2 linked regions of the Oryzias latipes genome follow. The protein of the gene in region 1 interacts with the protein of each later gene in a pairwise test. Links are inferred from orthologs where the notes say so. Each region holds a gene or a part of one and is shown on either strand. Other genes may lie near its edges.

What was found.
Region 2: the proteins of c6h11orf49 (region 1) and ras-related protein Rab-7L1 interact in a two-hybrid assay, tested with the Homo sapiens proteins (2 studies listed by BioGRID and IntAct). The two-hybrid records come from large-scale screens. The link is inferred for Oryzias latipes from reciprocal best matches to the Homo sapiens genes CSTPP1 and RAB29.

What each region holds. Positions count from the first base shown.
Region 1 is NC_019864.2:27,044,721-27,054,400, reverse strand, and holds the start of c6h11orf49 (UPF0705 protein C11orf49 homolog), read left to right. Parts: upstream 1-4,453; 5' UTR 4,454-4,636; coding exon 4,637-4,679; intron 4,680-4,777; coding exon 4,778-4,880; intron 4,881-6,122; coding exon 6,123-6,253; intron 6,254-6,364; coding exon 6,365-6,449; intron 6,450-8,123; coding exon 8,124-8,209; intron 8,210-8,497; coding exon 8,498-8,705; intron 8,706-8,777; coding exon 8,778-8,887; intron 8,888-9,665; coding exon 9,666-9,680. UniProt on the Homo sapiens protein: Regulator of the tubulin polyglutamylase complex (TPGC) that controls cytoskeletal organization, nuclear shape, and cilium disassembly by balancing microtubule and actin assembly.
Region 2 is NC_019865.2:28,345,608-28,355,275, reverse strand, and holds ras-related protein Rab-7L1, read right to left. Parts: upstream 6,028-9,668; 5' UTR 5,910-6,027; coding exon 5,792-5,909; intron 5,143-5,791; coding exon 5,071-5,142; intron 4,994-5,070; coding exon 4,812-4,993; intron 3,661-4,811; coding exon 3,539-3,660; intron 2,034-3,538; coding exon 1,913-2,033; 3' UTR 1,546-1,912; downstream 1-1,545. UniProt on the Homo sapiens protein: The small GTPases Rab are key regulators in vesicle trafficking. Essential for maintaining the integrity of the endosome-trans-Golgi network structure.

The sequences.
Region 1 (9,680 bases):
ATGTTACATAATGATGTCCTCGATTGGTTAAAGACACACTCCATTAAAAATCATATTTTTGGTGTTTTCAACATGTTCAACATGTTTTTGAGGCTTTTTTTTTAATCATAATTGAAGGACATTTTTAAAGACAAATTAAGGTTTTTAGGTGTGTTTGAGAATTTAATCTTTCTAAATGTTTTGAATTAGGAGCAGACAAAAAAAGATACTGCTGGAAAAAGCTTGTAGCAGTGACGTAGGGCAGTGGTCCCCAACCCCCGGGCCGCGGACCAGTACCGGTCCGTGGGTTATTTGGTACCGGGCCGCGCAGAAAAAATAAGATAACTTACACGACTTCCGTTTTATTTGTTTCGGAATCTGAAAGATTTTTTATTTTGAAAAATTGCCCGATTCTTTGTTACATCCGTCTATGTTACTCTTGACGCAGGCCAATTCGCTCGTCTCAGTCAGGAGATAGGATACTGCTAAAATAAAACCCAGGAACTGGCAAAATGAATAAAAAACAAACGTCTTTGGAAAGTTTCTTTGCCAAGTGGAAAAGGCCCAACCAGGAGACAGAAGAGGAGCCTTCGACTTCCAAAAAATACATTTAATAGACAGCATCAGGAGTCCTACTTAAAATACGGTTTTATCCCAACGGGAGATTCCCTTGAACCATTCAGCATTGTGGTGATTTGGATTTTCCATGCACTTATTTTAAAGGCATGTTTAAATGTTATAATAATAGCGATCAGGGAGTGTGGCGGGCAGAGAGGACGTTGCTCATGTCATAATTATTGTTTATTGTTATGTTTAGAAAATACCAGTTTTCATGAAAGTCATATTATTTTGTTGTACTGTAGTGTCGGTCACGTGCACGTTTGGTCTGCTGTCGGAGTTCCGCAGGGGTTACTGTAGGAGCTTGCATCGCAGGGAATTAAATGAATCCCCTAGGCCTGCTTTGGTCAAAATAGGGTTGAGCACGGGTGTTTCTTTTTGCCTACGGGTCCCTTCATCTGGCAGTTACGTTGTTTCACCCTTAGTTAATTCTTCCTGTTGTGTTTACTTCTTTTTAGCACCACGAGTGTGGGAAGGGGAGAGGATGATGACACCTGTGCGATGTACAATGTTTAGCGTGTCAAAATAAAAGTGCATGCTTGCCATTTTTGTTGCACCGGTAATGTAAGGGTGGGGTTGTAAAGGGCTGTGAGCTACCGGCAGAGCAACAGAGGGATGTCAGGAAGCAGGGGCGAGCTTACTCCATGCAAACAGTCCAATCCACAACTTGGAGGCAAATTTCTAATGAACAACTGCTGCTCTGCAGAATCCACGTCCAAAAAAAAAAAAAAAAATGACAGGTTTTTTTTTATTTTGGCTTTAAAAAAAAAACAGAATAGTCATAATAACAACGACCCCTGGGAACAATTTTAAAATAGATCAAAAGATGGTTAAAGTGGGACTTTAAAATGTTAATTATAATTTCGATCACATTCATGCAACCCAATTTTTATTGAATTAAAATTCTAGAATTTAAATGGGGGGGGGGGTAGGCCATTCATGTTAATGATCCTCACAAAACTTACTGTTTGCTCCTCATTTTATCTATACATTATGTCACAGAAACACTGCATTTGCTGAAAAAGGACAAAAGCAGGACAAGCTTCAACACCAATGGGACTTGCAGGGAACCGGCCATTTTTCCAGGTTAAAAAGCAGCAGAAGCCTATAAAGAGCTGATGTTTGTGTCAATAATTGAAACACCAATACTTTTGGGCAGGAACTTCCACTTACCAAATCTCCAACTATTACTGAAACAGCAACATCAATTAAAAGGGCATTCCTATTATGGTTCAGTTTATTAGTGACTAATAATGTGGTACGGCAAGGGGGAAAAACTAGATATAAACACCAGATAAGGTCAAGATCTTCACACGGTTCTGTAGAACATAATATCATCATGACAGTCTATGCAGCCTTTATTTTGATAAGTACAGATGTCAGGCACGAGCGCCAGAGATCCATCCAGCATCCATCCAACCTCACAGAGAAACAACGCGATATCATCATCGTTGCATTTTAGTCTCCACCAAGACAATGGTCGTCTTCGTGCAACCAGCAACTAGTCAAACCCCCCACAAAAAGCCAGTCAAGGAATGTGTCCCTAAAAATCAACAACCTGATATATAGGAGTGGTCAGCATCTTAAACTAGCAATCGTTACCAGTCAAAAACGAGCGCCATTAACCTCAGCAAACACAGTGGCTACTGGCTAAGGTAAGGTAGCCTCCTAAAATTGATAAAACCTCCCAGGGTTAAATTTTTAACAGTCTTTATAAACTGTACGTGCATTTTCCAAGAAACGTAAGATTAAAGTCCAATTCTGCTGAACTAACGATGCTCCATCGCTCTCTGTAGCCGCCGTTAGTTGCTTAGGAACAGGGCTACGGGCTAACCGTTCACCCCTGCCACCAGACAGGCCTAACAACGCAGTTCTCGCCGACAGACCAACAACACACACAGCACCACGATACGGCTCCTAAATGTAATTCGACATTTGGTTAGCGCCCCAAAATAAACTAAAATCAACGACATACCTGTGTGCGCCTCCTGGGGACTATAAGATGATGGCAACTCAGTAAAATGACAGACAATGAGATCACCACAGAGCTCGGTCGAGTTTTATACAAGCAGTTTGCGGATGTTAGCAACTTTCCACTTCCTGTACAAATTAAAAGAGTCCCCTTTACTGAGCCTCCTTCCATAAAGCATTTCGGCAAATTTCAAATTGGTATGATATGTATTTAGAGACACTTGACAGTAGAAAATACAAAAATATAAAATTACTCAAATAGTTCCAATTATAAGCGAAGGTTTGATTGACTAATTTTCGTTCTAAAATCAACTTCCGGCCCTCCGTTGCAAACACACATCAAACTTGACTATTCTTTTTAAATTACAAGGGTGGAGAGACAGAGGAAGGCGGAGACTCGGGACACCACCCTAAGTACATCAAACCTCGAAACTTATACATTCAAACAAAAGCACGAAGTGCAAACAAAGACTTTTAAACATCGGATCAATACCTTTTAGTTAACATTTGACGCGTGTACATTTGGTCCAACTGGCTTCCTTGAGTGTTTAGTGACGATGCAGCTGATTGGTTGAATTTGAAATAGGGACAACCCCCAATATTGATAGCCCTATGCTGATTGGACAAAAATAAGATAACACCCAATGGATAAAAACTGTTTGAACATTAAATCCGCCCAGATTTCTGTCAGTTTGTGTGCTATTGGATAATTTCATACGTTCCTTTCACACACATGTCTTTCCTATTGGCTGTGGGTAAACAAACCAATTTGAAAAAAACACATTTTTTTTACTCTACCATATACATTTTCCGCATATAAACATTATTTCAGACCCATATAACACTCCCAAATGGAAATCACAATATGTCTTATGCTGAAATAAATCTTTATTTTAAAAAAACTGGATGAGTGAAGGCATATTTATATAGGTTTAACTTACATGATGGGAGACAATATACCAACATTATAAAAACCATTCTCCAATCTTTCCTTCAAATCAATCACACTAATTCAACAATTTTAAATTCCCTCTCTGTTAGGTCTCATAGGTCCATCTATGATTATCATGAACATCATTACCAACAATTATCCAGTGAAAGTTTTACATCACCTTTTAAAAAAGTGGTGTTTTGGATGGTTCACATGTTATACTATGACTATGTGTGAGGGAGCCTAAATTAGACTATAATGTCAATTTCTCTCATTTTCTCCAGTCAATTTTCTTCAAACCTGTAGAGATGATCACGAACAACATTACCAACAATAATCCAGTGAAAATTTTGCGTCAGCTTAAATGAAGCAACTTAGAAAGAGTTGCCATGACCAGATGTGCCCTTTTACGTGGAGTTTCTTCATTGCTGTTTGATTCCATTCCATGTCATGCTCAACAACCCACAAAACACTCTTGTCAGTGTTAAATCTCACTTTTAGAATCTGTCTGATTGATTATATTTCAGACAAAACACGTTATTTCCGGTAGTTTATTGTGGAATGAACAGACATGCAATCCAAATGAATACATTTGTACATCAAATAACAATATAGGGCTTGCAATAGCTCTCGTTTATTTCAGAGCACAGTACATGTTATTTGATAATGGGTTCCTGTGACATGGGTGATATTAGCGCTTTATATCGTCTTTTCAGCTCGCTGGGCGTGTGTACCGTAAACTATGATGTGACTGACAGACTCTGCAGTCTGAAGTGGGACTAATGACTGTGTCTGTTTTTATCCAGATTTGTGTTAGTTTATGTTTCGTTGTTGTTTGGTCCCTCAATTATATCAATATTGTTGATTGATTCGTTCATTTCTGTAGTTATTGCTTCTAAAAGCGATTTTTCATTTGTAATGTTAGGGGGAACCTTTGTTGCGCGCTCGAGGGGGACTCGAATTAATGTAGCTCACAACATCCGCCTTTTCCCTTGCACGGACCATCCCGTCAGACAAGACGATGTTAGGTCCATGGAGCCGATATTTACTAAACAGATTCGATAAACGGAGTTCGGGTTCGTGTTCTTCGGGGTTGTTTAGGACGATCTGAGCAGGTTTTCCGACTGAACAAACAAAATGAGCCGCCTAAGCGCCGCCGTTCCGGTAGAGGAGTATCTCGGTAAGTTAGTGCTGGTTGTAGGTACCCTCTCTTCTGGATCTCGGTTCGGTCCAGTTCTGGTTTCTTCATATTTACGTGTCTGTTTTTTCTTTCTCAAGCGGAAAGTCACGTCCTTTTCTACCTGGGTGATGCCGTAAACCAGCTGCTGGAACACAAAGAGGAGTACACCCAGTTCGGACTGATCCGATACTTCGCCGAATAGTACGTGACGCAGGTTGTTCACAGCGATTCACACCAAGAGTGGAACGGACTGGCTGTCCAAACCCGGTCCAGTTAGTCCAGATTAAAGTTTTAATAAGACAATACTCAACTGTGAATGTTTTCTCAAAGGAAGACATTTTGAGTATTTTGTAGGAGCATCATTTACTGGAATTGAATGTCTCCTTTCAGTAGACAGTAGATGCTCACTTGGCTGTAGTTTCAACACACGTTTTATAAATATATTTATAGTTAAAATTTGTGTTTTGTCACAAATGACAGTATTAGACTCATAGACTCATGTTAAAATACTTTAATATTTAGACCTGACCGAAATGCTCTGGAACCAAAGAATAGGAGTAAACAATTGTCTACAAGGACGAATAAAGCTACTCCAATGACAATTGTGTTTCTTACACATTCTTGTGACATTTCTCTGATGATGGAGTTCATTTATAAAGAGAGCTAATTATATTATTTCTGAATGATTCTTTATTCAAATAATTGCAAGTCAGGAGCAGAATCAAAAATGCTGTTGGAAAAAGCTTGTAAGTGTGATGTACGGCTGGCCACAAGTTCCCTGCTCCGCTCCATTCTGATGCATCCACTTTCAGACAAAAAGATTCACGTACGTCTTGGTTCTCCTCGTCTGAGCTGGCATCTGGCTCCAAACTGAATGGCTGGGTAGCTACAATACTGCTCATGTTGTTGCACCAGTAATGTCAGGTTGGGGGTGTGAGGGGTTGTAAGCTAGAAAGGAGGGATTGTAAAGAAATGATGGGAAATGAGGGAAGGCTTACTCTGCGCCACAAGTCTTGACCACAACTCCTGACCACAGCTCATAGGCAAATTTCGAATGAACTGCCGCTATACAGAAATTACACGTTTTAGGGTTTTGCCTAAAGCGGCATAATCATGATTAAAAGACCACTGGGAACACTTTTAGATTAGATCAAAAGACGATTAGAGTGGGAGTTTAACTGTGACTAAAGTCTAAGTTCCTTTTTCTGACATACAGACCTGTTAACTGACAAGGAGCAGCACGTTTCTGTGACTCCAGTTTCTTTGTAATTGACTGAAAAGTGTGAGATTAAAAGGTTTAGAGAGACAGATGAGGCAGTGGATTAAACATAAACATATAACTAGTTAAAATCCCAATATTGGTCAATATAAAAACACAAGAAAAAATTAGGGATCAAGACACACAGAGACCTTCACCTGTGGATTTGTTATGTGTGATTGTAGTTTCAGCAGCGTGAAGAACAGCAACCATGTCCTCTTCAGGGAGTTTAACTACATCCGAGCCACTCCTCACAACAAGGCCTCCTTTATTCGAGTTTTCTGGAGATGCTTCAGACAAATTGGCAAGAGTGGAGGTGACTGATCCATCATTACTTCTGTCTGATTTTGTGTGTTTGAGTTTCGAAGGATGTGATCTGCTTCACCTTCTGGGTTACAATTAAACATGTGGTGGTGATTTTTTGCAGAGCTGTTATCTGTGCAGGACTACAGGTCCCTGCTGCAGTTACTGTGTCCCGACTTCTCAATGGAGGTGGTGCAGAGCGCAGCCAGGTGAGGGCAGAAACATTTAGTAAGTGGTTGATGGTTTCAGGTGGAAACCAGAAACACGTAAACAGCATTTGAGGAAAACCAGATCTGGAAAATTTGATGGAGTATTAGGGCTACCATAAAATAATTATGTTATGAGATGAATTTTAGTAGAATAAAGTTGTGCAATTATTAGAAAGAAGTCAATATTTTATAGCAAAATTTTAAAAATTTAAATCAAAAACTCACAATTAAAAAAGGAAAAAATAAAATTTTCTTCCAAAAATAAAGTTGTAATTTCATCAAAATAAAGTAGTTCACTCACAAATAAAGTTTAATTAAGATTCTTTAGCAGTTTGATTTCTCTGAATTGTCTGAAACATAAATTAAAAAGGTCATGTTTGGTTGTCTTTGAAACTGTTACATCCCTGTCTAGGGGCTTGTAAAAGGATGTAACATAAAAGTAAAAGGAACAAATTAAATATCCCAACAACTAAAAAAACTCTCACAAACAAAACCAGGCTCAAAATAAGCTGGGAATTTATTTACAGAAAAACTCAAACTACACAAAAATAACCTAAAAACAAGGACCAAAGCCTCTAACAATAGCAAATAAAGTAAAGCTCTGCTGCTGCCAGCTTGGTTGATGTGGCAGTATTTGAACACTGAGGTGGACGCCTCAGCTCCAATCTCCGGACAAATGTAGTACAAAGACTGAATCTCCCACTGCAGCAGAAAACAAAAGAAAACAGAGACAGAAAATACTGCAAAGTACAAAAAACAATATTACAGCCATAACAGAAAAATTTTAAAAGTAAATATAACTTTTTATTTTTTAAATGAAAAACCAGACTTTTTACTTGTAAAATTATGACTTTTAGGAGCATACATTTATGACTTTATGACTAGTAAAATGACTTTTTCTCATAAATTCAAGACTTTTATGTTCATGGAATATTGACTATTTTCAAACAATTTTACAACTTTCCTCTATTATATTTATTCATTTTATGATGGCCCTAATGCTGCATTCATCCATTTTATGAAATAAAGTGCTTAATATTTTTTCTTTACCTTCACGCTAATATTTTTATTTTTGTTTTTAAAAAAAGCTTAAATGTTATGTGACTAATCCCTGTTTGACCCTTTTTTTCTTTCTCAGTCAAAGTATGAGCATGTTATTTAAAAAGTATCAAATGTTTGAATCCGCGCCCTCATTTATACCAGGTCTCCCCTGAATGGCTGTCTTGACTAAAGAAAAAAAACTACAACAAAATATTCTCAGCTGTTTTCTGTATTAATCTTTCTCTTTGTATTCTTACCCCCTACAAGTTACTGGTAAAAGAGAATAAAGTGTTTTTTTTCCTGTTTTTTCTCATTACCAGCTAAAGATTGGTTTAACACCTCACAGTGTTTGGAACCAGCAGGTTAAGGGAAGAAGTTCTTTCGTACAACGTGTTTTAAAAAGAGCTCCTTTCCAAATATGTTGCTTTAAGCAGAATTGTTATCATTCCACGGGCAGCGACAGAGAAAATATTACTCAACCGTTCCTGAACAGCTTTGTTTCCAAACATCTACACTGAAACGTGTTAGAAGAGCTTGTTATGATCAGGAGACACAGATTTTAGTGGACCGCAGGCTCTCTCCTGTCACAACGGATCCCCAGCGTTTATGAGTGTTCTTCTTTTTGTTCTGCAGAATTGTTCTGATGGACGACGCCACAGATTGTCTGATGTCATTCTCTGACTTCATTTATGCCTTCCAGCTGCAGTTTTACTACCAAGGTGAGGCATCCAGTTAGGCAAAACTCCTAAATGGAAAGAATGCAATGATTTGTTTGTCCCTTAAATGTTTTTTTAAAGTTAAAACATAGGGAAAAAATGCATTTTTGAAAGTGAGCCATTTCTTGAAATATTCTTTTCCTGAGGAATTTGATGGCAGCCCCTGTTTCAGTTGTGACAGCCTGATGTCTTTACACTTGCTCCCTCTGAGAAAAGCAGCTTTTGTTTAGGACTGTTGTCCTGATTGGGTTGTTTTTGTTCTATTCCTTGTTGCGGTCTCTGTGTCTACAGAATTCTTGGAGAGCGTTTTGGTGATCTACCAGGATCTGCTCGCAGGGAAGAGTCCCAACACCGTGTTCGTCCCCACCTCGGCCTTAGTGGAGCAGCTGCCCTCTGTGGTTGTGGAGGAGAACGATAAGGAGGAGCCGCAGCGAGATGGGGTGGAGGCGTGCCTGCTGGCCGATTGTGTGGATGCTCTCTGCGACAGGTTCAAGCACAGGTAAACTGCTCAGAGCAGAATCAGGTCTGTGGCAATGACTCCACATCAATGCTCCGTGTTTCTGCTCTCCAGCCATCCTTCCAGGGCGTGTGTGAGGGAAATCCTGGATCAGACCGACAAGGTTTCTTACTACAGCTTCCTCATGAGTCTGGCTAAGCATGAGGCCATCAATCAAAGCATCGGTAGGTTCAGTTATGTTATAGGGAAACTAGCATGTACAGACCCACTCTGATCATCTTTTGATCTATTTCCAAACCGTTTCCATGGGTCTTTGAATTATGATTATGCCATTTTTAGCCAAAATCAAAACTTGTGTTGTGTTCTAGGACATAATTTCTGCAGAGCAGCAGAAGTTCTGTAGAAATTCCCCTTATAGTTGTGGGCGGGACAATTGGGTGCAGAGAAACCCCACCCCCCTTCCCTTTCCCGGAGCAACTTCAGGCTGCGTTCGGGTTTCCACGTTGTCTGTTATTTTATGATCACTTAAACCTCATTGGGCATTATCCATTACTTAATTGAGGATATTTCTTACAGTGAAAGTGATCTAGGAAACTATTTGTGGACTTTGTTTCTTTGAAACAGATTTTGTTTCCTCATCTAGACAAAAACAAGTGCTAAGAGGTGAACTTTCCCTCTGAAATAATGCTTTGTATCACTTAACATAACTTGTAGCCTATATAGCACTTTCCTCCGCTGCTGCGGTTGGTGCAGACTCAGTAGCCGTTACCATGACAACACATCAGACTGCATATCAAACAGTTTGCTTTTTGTGAAAAACAGTTTAAACAATAAAAATAGTGAGATGGAAGTACTAATAATTATTTATCTCTTAAGGGACCATGGCATGAGTGGGGTAGTCCTCCACAAAGTTTCTATTATCAAAAATGAATGGCCTTTGCATAAGAAACAGTCCAACGTCTCTTTTTTTACGTTAAAGCTTCAATCCTCTCATTCATGCAGGAGCATTGCCCAGCA
Region 2 (9,668 bases), on another chromosome or scaffold:
TTTTATTGCTCTTTGGTTTGTTTTTAATTTAGCATCTTGTAAAGTTTGGTTGTTTTGGTTTTTTAAAGTCACATTATAGTTAACTTAGTAATTTTTTTCTCTCCAGTTGTCTGTCTTTGGATCTTTCAGAAAAGAACGTGATAAAAGTTCCGGTAAAAGATTAAAATAACAGCAAACAGTTCATAGAGAGTGTTATGTGCTGCTGCTGCTGCATTATTCCAACACTCTGCTCACCTGGCAGCTGAAGCTAATAGTCTTGATCAGCACCTGCCAGGTATTTAAGTGAGGTAAGACATGCAGAGAGGGCAGGCAGGAGGCTGAGGAGCAGTTGTTTTGTGTTGGAGCTGTGCTGGTTGGTTGTTTCTCTTTTGATTCCCTCTTGGTCCTCAGCAGTCTTATACTGCTGGGTTTTGTTATTTTGTTTTGGGGTTGGACCTTGGTAGTCCTTATTTGCGGGCCTTGTTTATTTATTTTTAATAGTTAGATTCTGTTAGGCAGCCTTAGCAGGGAGCTGCTGACTCCGACGGTCAATGTGGCTGGGTCAGTTGTCTCCCTGACTTATTTTATGTTTGGCCAAGGCTCCAATCCCTCTGTTTTGTCTTTTGTTGGGACCAGCACAGTAATTATCTATTTTCTTTTGTTTCACAGAATACAGGTTACTTCTTCCTCGTAATAAACTGTTCCTAAACTTTTTTGTTCCATTGTTCATATGTTTTGGCCCCTTTTTGATTTTCCTAAGACTGTGACAGGTTTGCCTGTTGGGGCCGTAACAGAGAGACACTACAGGATTTTTTTTTTTTTTTTTTTTTTTTTCTAAATTGCGTTTTTGTACTTAACTAGACTGTCCTTTTTATTATTAAAATCATGTTACATCTTGATATAATATTGCATTTTTTTTTTTTTACATTTAAAAAAAAATCTGTGCTTTTATCCCTGTTGGGCGACCTTGAGTTCCGAGAAAAGCACATAGTAAATAACATGTATAAGTATCATTATTTTTATTAATTTTTATTAACCAAAAAACATACAGGTTATAACAGTTGAAAAAGAGAATCCATTTATTAAAGAATAAATCCCTTACATTTATGTTAATTAGCTTCCAACAGTGTCAATCTCTTTTGCATTTCTGTCAGGTTGTACTTGAACGTTTTGTTTTAGCAGTTACTTGAAATAAACCACTCAGCTCTCATTGTCTCTTTTCATTCTTAATTGGTCTTCATCAGCTAAAGACATTATTAGGATTTTCTGTGTAAGGGACATTCATGCAACAAAAACTATGGAGCTGCATTTCCAGAAGTAAATGCAGGGTTGGCTGCTGCATTGCTGAATGAAATTTGAAGGGTAATAATTGACAACAAAAAACTAAACGATCAAAGTTGGACATAAATATAACAGCAAGATGATAACAAAAGATTTTTGTGAAAAATGCCCGCGCTGGGTATCGAACCAGCGAGCTTCTGCACCAAGAATTCCCCATGTATTTCAGTGGAGGCAAAAATCCTGGAATATCTTGAAAAGTTCAAGGATTTGAAGAACCAAATGTCATAACTGGAAGAAGCTGAAAGAGCTGAACATTTTAATAGATGAATGGTTAAAATAGCTGAAAAATTGTAGGAGTTAAGTGCCAAAAAATGGTAGAGGAAACTATAATAAAGATGGAAAGAGAAGCAGGAAAACAATGGATTGAATGCTTTATGGCATTCATCCAATAAAACATCAACCATACAAAGAAACCAACCAAAAAAGGTGAATGTGCTCTGATTACCAGCTTGTTTCCTTGACCTATAGAAAGTAGCTCTGATCATGAGACAGAATTAGACTCATAACAGTGAGTCTATTTGAAGCAGCGCTTCCAACACAATGAGGATTCATTAGCTGTGTTTGTTGGGGTCCAGCTGTGGAACAAGTTGTGTCAGCAGCAGCTTCTGCCAGTGTCGGTGTTGAACTCAGAGTCCTGCTGCAGGAAGACGCTTCCTTCAGGCAGAGGCTGTGAGGGCTTCAGATGAACAGATAAAATCTCCTGGACTAACCTCCTGGGGAAAAAAATAGATTTGCAGCAAATTTTGGTTTAAATCTAAATTCTTAAAATCTTAACTTCACTAACATATGATGAGGTCACATTAAGAGCATTACTATCTCATCCTTCCATAAGATTGCTGCAGAAGACCCTGCAGGTAATACTAAAATGATTAACTTCACGTAGACAGTGCGGCAAAAAAGTATTTAGTCAACCACTAATTGTGCAAGTTCTAGCACTTAAAAAGATGAGAGAGGTCTGTTATTTTCATCATAGGTAAATGTCATCTATGAGAGACAAAATGAGAAAAAAATCCAGATAAATCACTTTGATTTATAAAGAATATTTAATTTAATATTTAATTAAACATTTAATTTGTAAATTATGGTGGAAAATAAGAATTTGGTCAATAAAAAAAAGTTCAACTCAATACTTTGTTATATACCATTTGTTGGCAATGGCAGCCAACCTTGTGAAGACTCACTTCACAAGGTTTTCACAAACTTGCTGGTATTTTGGCCCATTCTTCCATGCAGATCTCCTCTAGAGGAGTCATGCTTTGGGGCTGTTGCTGGGCAACATGGACTTTTAACTCCCTCCAAAGGTTTTCTATGGGGTTGAGATCTGGAGAGTGGCTAGGCCACTCCAGGACCTTGAAATACTTTTCACGAAGCCACCGTTACCTGAGTAGTGTGTTTGGGATCGTTGTCATGCTAAAAGACCCAGCCACATTTCATCTTCAATGCCCTTGCTGATGGAAGGAGGTTTTGACTAAAAAACCTGTTGTCCTGGTCCCTTTGATGAAAAGCAGCCCCAAAGCATGATGTTTCCACCCCCAATGCCTTATAGTATAGTGTGCTTTGGATGCAACTCTGGGGTTGCTCACTGTTCTTGAGATAATTTTGACCCCACGGGGTGAGAACTTGCCCCAGATGGAGGGAGATTTTCAGTGGTCTTGTATGTCTTCCATTTCCTTATAATTGCTCTCACAGGTGATTTCTTCAAATCAATCTGCTTACTTGTTGCAGATCCAGTCTTCCCAGCCTGGTGCAGGTCAACAATTTGGTTTCTGGTGTCCTTAGACAGCTCTTTGGTCTTTAGTGGAGTTTGGAGTGTGACTGTTTGAAGTTGTGGACAGATGTCTTTTATAAAGATAAGCAGTTCAAACAGGAGCCATTAATACAGGTAACCAGTGGAGGACAGAGGTTCTTCTTACAGAAGAAGTTACAAGTCTATGAGAGTCAGAGATCTTGCTTGTTTGTGGGTGATCAAATTCTTATTTTCCACAATAGTAAACAAATAAATTCTTTGAAAATCAGACAAAGTGATTTATCTGTATTTTATTTTCTCATTTTGTCTCTCATTGCTGAGGTTTACCCATGATGAAAATTACAGGCCTCTCTCAACTTTTTAAGTGGGAGAACCTGAACAATTGGTGGCTGACTAAATACTTTTTTGTCATGACTCTCTAAAAGGTTTGCAATCATTTCTTTACATTGACATTGAGTCTTCTTTTTTTACCTCATGGCTTCTCCGACATTCTTGTTCTCTTTGACAGAAGCCTCCATCCAGGTGAAGAAGCCGTTAGCTCCGCTAAACTGATCAATAGTGTCTGCCGACACGGCCCGCTCAGCCAGGTCACACTGTAGCAGCAAAGGACAGTAACTTACAGAGAATCTCTCAGCATTCACTGCAACAAGACCCTTTTGCGATTCATGTTTAATAAGTTGATATCACTGTCAGAAGCTGTCGTGTCTTCTCTTGTTTTGGTTTGCTCTTGTGTTTAAAGTGTGCCAATACAAGATTGGCAAAAACAATCATGAGACCAATTTTTTCTTTTTGGTGAAAGGAAAAACAGATCCGCTCATGTTCTGGTAAACTGATAATACAGTCATGGTTTGTCAGGTTAGGTTTACACCATTGACTGTATATGAGAACTGGACTGAGTGACCCCTCTTCCCTTGTGTTCCAAACAGGAAATTTCCTGCTGGTTGGAAGTAGCTAAAAATCCCGCAGTCTTCTATAGAGAAAAAAACAGCTATTACTCTGAATATCATTCAATTTGTTTGAATAACCATTCTTACTCTAGCCTTTTTAACATGTTGTTGATAATGCTAATTTTAATTCACAATATTTGTTTTCTTCTGTACTGCAAGTTTTTCAAGTTATAAACTTGCCATCAGATGCCTCAATAAAAGTATGTGGTCTCATATCCAGAGCTTACTTTCAAGTGGTAGGGGTGTGGCCTTCCAACAAGCTCACTCCTGATTGGCGAGAGTAGTTCATGGGTGACATCACACTCACTCAGTCAGTTCGATTCTCCATATGATTATACACAGTAAATACAAACACTACAATAACATGCTGAAACAAAAACATCTGCTGCTGCAAAAACCTTTGTTTCAAATAATAAAAATACACACTTTTGTTTTTGCACAGACATGCCTAGACTTTTTTTTCTACACATGATCTCAGATTGTTTCTCTCCAGTTTTTTAAACAAGACCTCTATTCCATTTGTCACTGTTCCAACTCCCTTTTGTTTTTCAGTGATAAGTAGGTCTATTTCAGTCTCATTGACTGTGCTCTTTCAATTGTCGTCAACCGAGTGACGGCGGGTGTCTTGACTTATACAGCTGCCGTAACGAAACAAGAACCTTTTTTTGGAGCCATTTAGAATTTTAAAAACCTTCCATGTGAAGCCCATCAGCAATCAGCTGCAGTCACATGTGTATTGGTTGTGTAGCAGCCTGTTCATTATACTGATGTATCATGAAGTATTATGACTGAATGACCTTGTTGGCCAGCAGGAGACAGGGGATTGTGTCTCCGTTCGGCAGCATGGCCTTGTGGTCCAGGTCCTGTTTCCAGAGGCGACAGCTTAGGAAACTGGATGAGCTGCTGATGTCAAACATCACAATGCAGCCCACTGCACCTTTATAATAGATTCTGGTCATGGATATGAAGCGTTCTTGGCCTGAAAGGAGGACACACAGTTCACTGTTGCATCCATAACCAATAACAGCAAAGGTTGGTTTGGAAATCACTTTGTACCTGCTATGTCCCAAAGTTGCAGCCTGACTTTTTCTTCATCGGACCAGTGCAGCAGTTTAACAGCAAAATCCACTAGAAGTGTGTTTGAAAAAACACAAACAGAGAACACAATGAAGGGAAAAAAGTGTTTTTTCCTTCCACTGCAGCCATCCTTTAGTGAGTGTGACACATAACGTCTGGCCTCTAGTTGATTATGAACCAGCGTTTAGCCTCTGTTACGGATTACAGCTACTGCATAAACATGCCTAAAGCCGTCTGTAGTCTCTGCTCCCTGTCAGCTTTACACAAATACTGTCAGTACCCATGTGACCACAACCTGCATGTTGACCACAGTGGGCGCTGATCTCAACCTGAACCACACAGGTGGCTGTGTTTGAGTCATAAAAGAAGTCAGTGACTCAAGGTGAAACCAGCCAGTCAGCTTAAAAAGCCTGACAGCGCTCGTCTTACAGTGTGGACAAAGAAAACACACCTTTCTACGCATATTTTAGGTAAACTGGAGTATTTTATTTTATTCAAGGAAATAAAAAAACTGCTACACACAATATGTTCTGACTAAACAAGACAAATATATATACAAATATATATTTAAATAAAGGTAGATTGCACAGCGGATTTATTATTCTGACAATTTGACCTGGAAGTAGAGCTTCCTCTCTTGTGAATACCAGTATAAAGTAACAAGAGCACATATGTATAGTTCTAGAAGATATGAACGTACCTCCTACAGTCATCTTGTATGTTCTGTTGAAATTTCCACTGATGTAACGGTTTACAAAGGAAGATTTTCCAACATTTCCATCACCAACAATCAGTATTTTCAGCAGGTGCTCTGTCATCGTTCGTCTTCTCTCTGTCACATGATCATGATCAAGTTAGTCGTGAAGTTCCCAGCAGCTCAAAGTTCAAACCGGAAATCTGCTTTATGAGGCAAACATGCAATGTTTTATTTCAGCATTTAACTGCAAGAGTACGAGACAATATAAAAGAAGAAAATGAGGATCTTTTACAGAACTCAAACAGAGACTTTAACCCTTGTGCTATCTTAGATGACCTCACCCTTGCATTGACGTGTTCTCCCTACCATGACAAAGGTGGATAAAGGTGGAAAGATTTCATGTAATCCATGGACAGCAGTGAGGTTGACAAATCATTGAAGAAAAAAGGTTCAGCGCACTGTCTAGTGGGTCTAGATGACCCAACTCCCAATGTTAAAGTGCCTAGGATGGCACAAGGGTTACACAAAGCTTTTGAAAAAACTGAAAATAGTACAAATGGCCGTAGTTTCCGTCTCTCCACTCTGTCTGTCACTCTGACATCCGGGGTTTTGGTTGTCAGAACCCCGGATGGGTTCCATTGGAGGAACTTGGTGCACTTAGACATCTGAACATGGTCAAGCTACCTTTTGGATGTTTAAACCAGGTTTAGAAGGTGAATAAAGGGGATGTAATAGTTTCTTTTTCAATGGTTTATGATGCCAGCGTACGTGTTGGTTCTGATCTTTAAAAGAACACAGACAACACTTTTTGAATGCAGTAGAATAAAGCGTCCACTTCCCAATCTCAAATTAAATGCAAACCACTGGGGGCTGGTGTCACAGGGAAGTCATTTCCTATCAAATCTCATTTTAAAATTCAAGTTTTAAGGCAAAGATAAACCCATTTCTAGCCTAGTGACAGACACTTTTATGTTAATTTCCATCCATCCATTTTCGTTACCTGCTGAATCCCTTTTTTAATCCCTATTTTTTTTCAATCAGTTGTTTTGTTTTAGGGAATGTAAGTAGTCCTACATATTACACATAGGAAGACAGCATGAGTTACAATTTATAAGATGTGTTCCATTTGGTTATAATTAATAATAAATCTTTCCCCACAAAAATGAAACGGAAACAAAGAAACCATGCAGACTAAACCATGAGGTTTGTCCACTAGGTTTGTAAACTAGGCCACTGTCATCGACTGCTGGACATGTTTCAGTCGCATGCTGAGTCATGTACATGACTCTCTTCTCTGCGTTTTTTCCTGTTTGTTTTATCGTGACTTGGCCACTTTTCTTGCAGCAGATAAAAATGTTCAGGATTTAAAAATAACTTCTGGTCTAAGCACGTTTATAATGATTTTCCAAATGATCTTGTATCATAAATATTCTACCGGAGTAGTTTAGACCTTTTTGGATGGAAGTGTGTGATAGGGAAAAAACACATCACCAGCCAGGACCGCAGCTAAGAGGACACTGACATTTCATCAGGTTTGATTCACTCCAGGGTTAGTTACCTGTGTTCTTGTAATTATTCATGACCAAAGGTTTCAAGTAATTTCAGGCAGCGTTCCACTGTTATGTCAGAAAAGGTTGTGTGACATCTGAATTCACGAGCAGCCCGCATTTCTTACTTTAAAAGGTCTATTGTCACGTACACAAAACGGAAAGAAGAAACACAAATTGCAGCAACACATGAAAACATCCACTGACATGGTTGCTATGGTAACCGTAACCAACAAATTCACCTCAAAAACGTGATTGATTTATAACAAGCCACAACCCCTAACACAAGGTTGAGTCTATTTTTTATATTGTCTGTCATCAATTTACTACGGTGGCCCTGAAGTGCAAACCATTCAACAAATCACTCGATACAAAAACATTTTTAAGATCACAGCAACAATTTAAAAAGCGTATTACATTTTAGAAAACAAAACAAAATTTCAGAAACCAAAACATAAAAAAGAAAAAAAGATTTCAGAAAACAAAATTAATTTCCACAAAAAAAAGAAATATTACAAAATGAAAACATTTCAGAAAAAAAATTAATTTCCAGAAAACAAAATGAAATAAAAAAAATGAAAACATTTCAGAAAAACAAAATGAAATATTAAAAAATGAAAAACATTTCAGAAAAAAAATGAAATATTAAAAAATGAAAAACATTTCAGAACACAGAATGAATTTCCAGAAAACAAAACGAAATCTTCAAAAATGAAAAACATTTCCAAACCGGAAGAAGCAGGTACTATGGGACAACGCTGATTGGATGATGATGTTTGTCAATCATTTGAACTGAAAAGTATTTTAAATGAAGCGATGACGGATTTTATCGTCCAAACAACAATGTACCATGATAATTCCCGTATTTCCCATTTACATATTAAATCAAAAATGCAGCAAACAGATAATGAAGGTTTAAATTATTTTTTGAATATTTCGTCTGAAGCAGAACGGTCACCCGGAAGTAGTTTGTGTGGATGACGTCCGTTCTGCAGGTAAACAATGAAAGGGACGATAAAACGTTAACATAAACGTTAATCTTTGAATATTTAGCGGATGTGATGACAGAACGCACACAGAAATATCAACACCAACCAGGTTTACAAATGTTTCGAAATGTCGTGAGAGGATTCTGTCTGAAGCAGCAGCTGCGAAGAAACGGGTGTTAAAGACGGCGCACATCAGGAAATGCAGTCCCGCCATCCACTGATAAGGTATGGAGGCACATTTGTTTGATCTAATAAATGTAGCGTTAAACGTGATTTCTAGGTGGGTGTTTACAGACAGATCCAAGATCCTTCAGTCATACGTTAATGACAGGTTACCTCATCAGCTGGAGAGGGGGGGTCACGTGGGCAGGATTCTCAGACAGGTGTACCAGCAGCATAAATCAGCAAAGCTGTCAGGTAAACTGCAGCAGTTTGTGTCTCAGAATAACATTTATGAATGCTTCTTATTCACACTATTAAGATCTGTGACTTTGGAGTGTGTCAGTGCACAGAAACATGACAGTAAATGACTGGATGTGCACATCATCAGACACGTCCAGGTGTGTAACTAAAGGTGGCAAAGTCTGTAGTGTAAAATAAATCTTTAAAAAAAAACGTTTTAGTCTTTCAGGCAGAGGAGGAATACCAAATTGTTTTAGAATGTATTTTTTATAAGACTGAAATAATGTATTTTATTCTGAGTTTGGTGTTTTGACCCCTCCCTAATGAATTTCTGGTTTAACCCATTTTCTCCTCATTTTGATGAACTCAACTTTTTCCTGAATGAAAGATGAACGGTAGCTGATGTTTTTCTGTCAGGGATTTTTAATTTATTAATTTATCTCTGTCAGGGATTTCAGTGGAGCTGGAGTCCAGTGCAGAGGAAGCTGCAAGCATGTACGAGCAGGAACTGGCGTCCCTTACCTGTGCATCTTCCTCTGGATGTGATGCTGAGCAGCAATGTGGACAAACCTTTCCTGACATGACTCTTTTTGATATAGTTGTTAAGCACAAACAGACTTTCCCAGATGCATTTTTTCCTCTAATAAATGTGACTGACAGGTACGCTGAGTAAATGCTGAATGTAAGCGCAACATTTGATTGACTGCATGAAGAAGCCCATAAAGGAAAATCCACAACTGTTTCTTTGTTTCTGTTACTGAATAACGTATTCATGTTAAGTTTTCAATAAATATACTGCATTGCTATGAAACAAATTTGTTTATTTTCATATCCATTATTACAATCCTCACGTCAGCATTCAGTTTTGTCATTGACAAAGAAACATTTCTAAACAACAGCTTTGAAAATCAAACATCAACTTTGTTAATAAAGCTTTAAAAC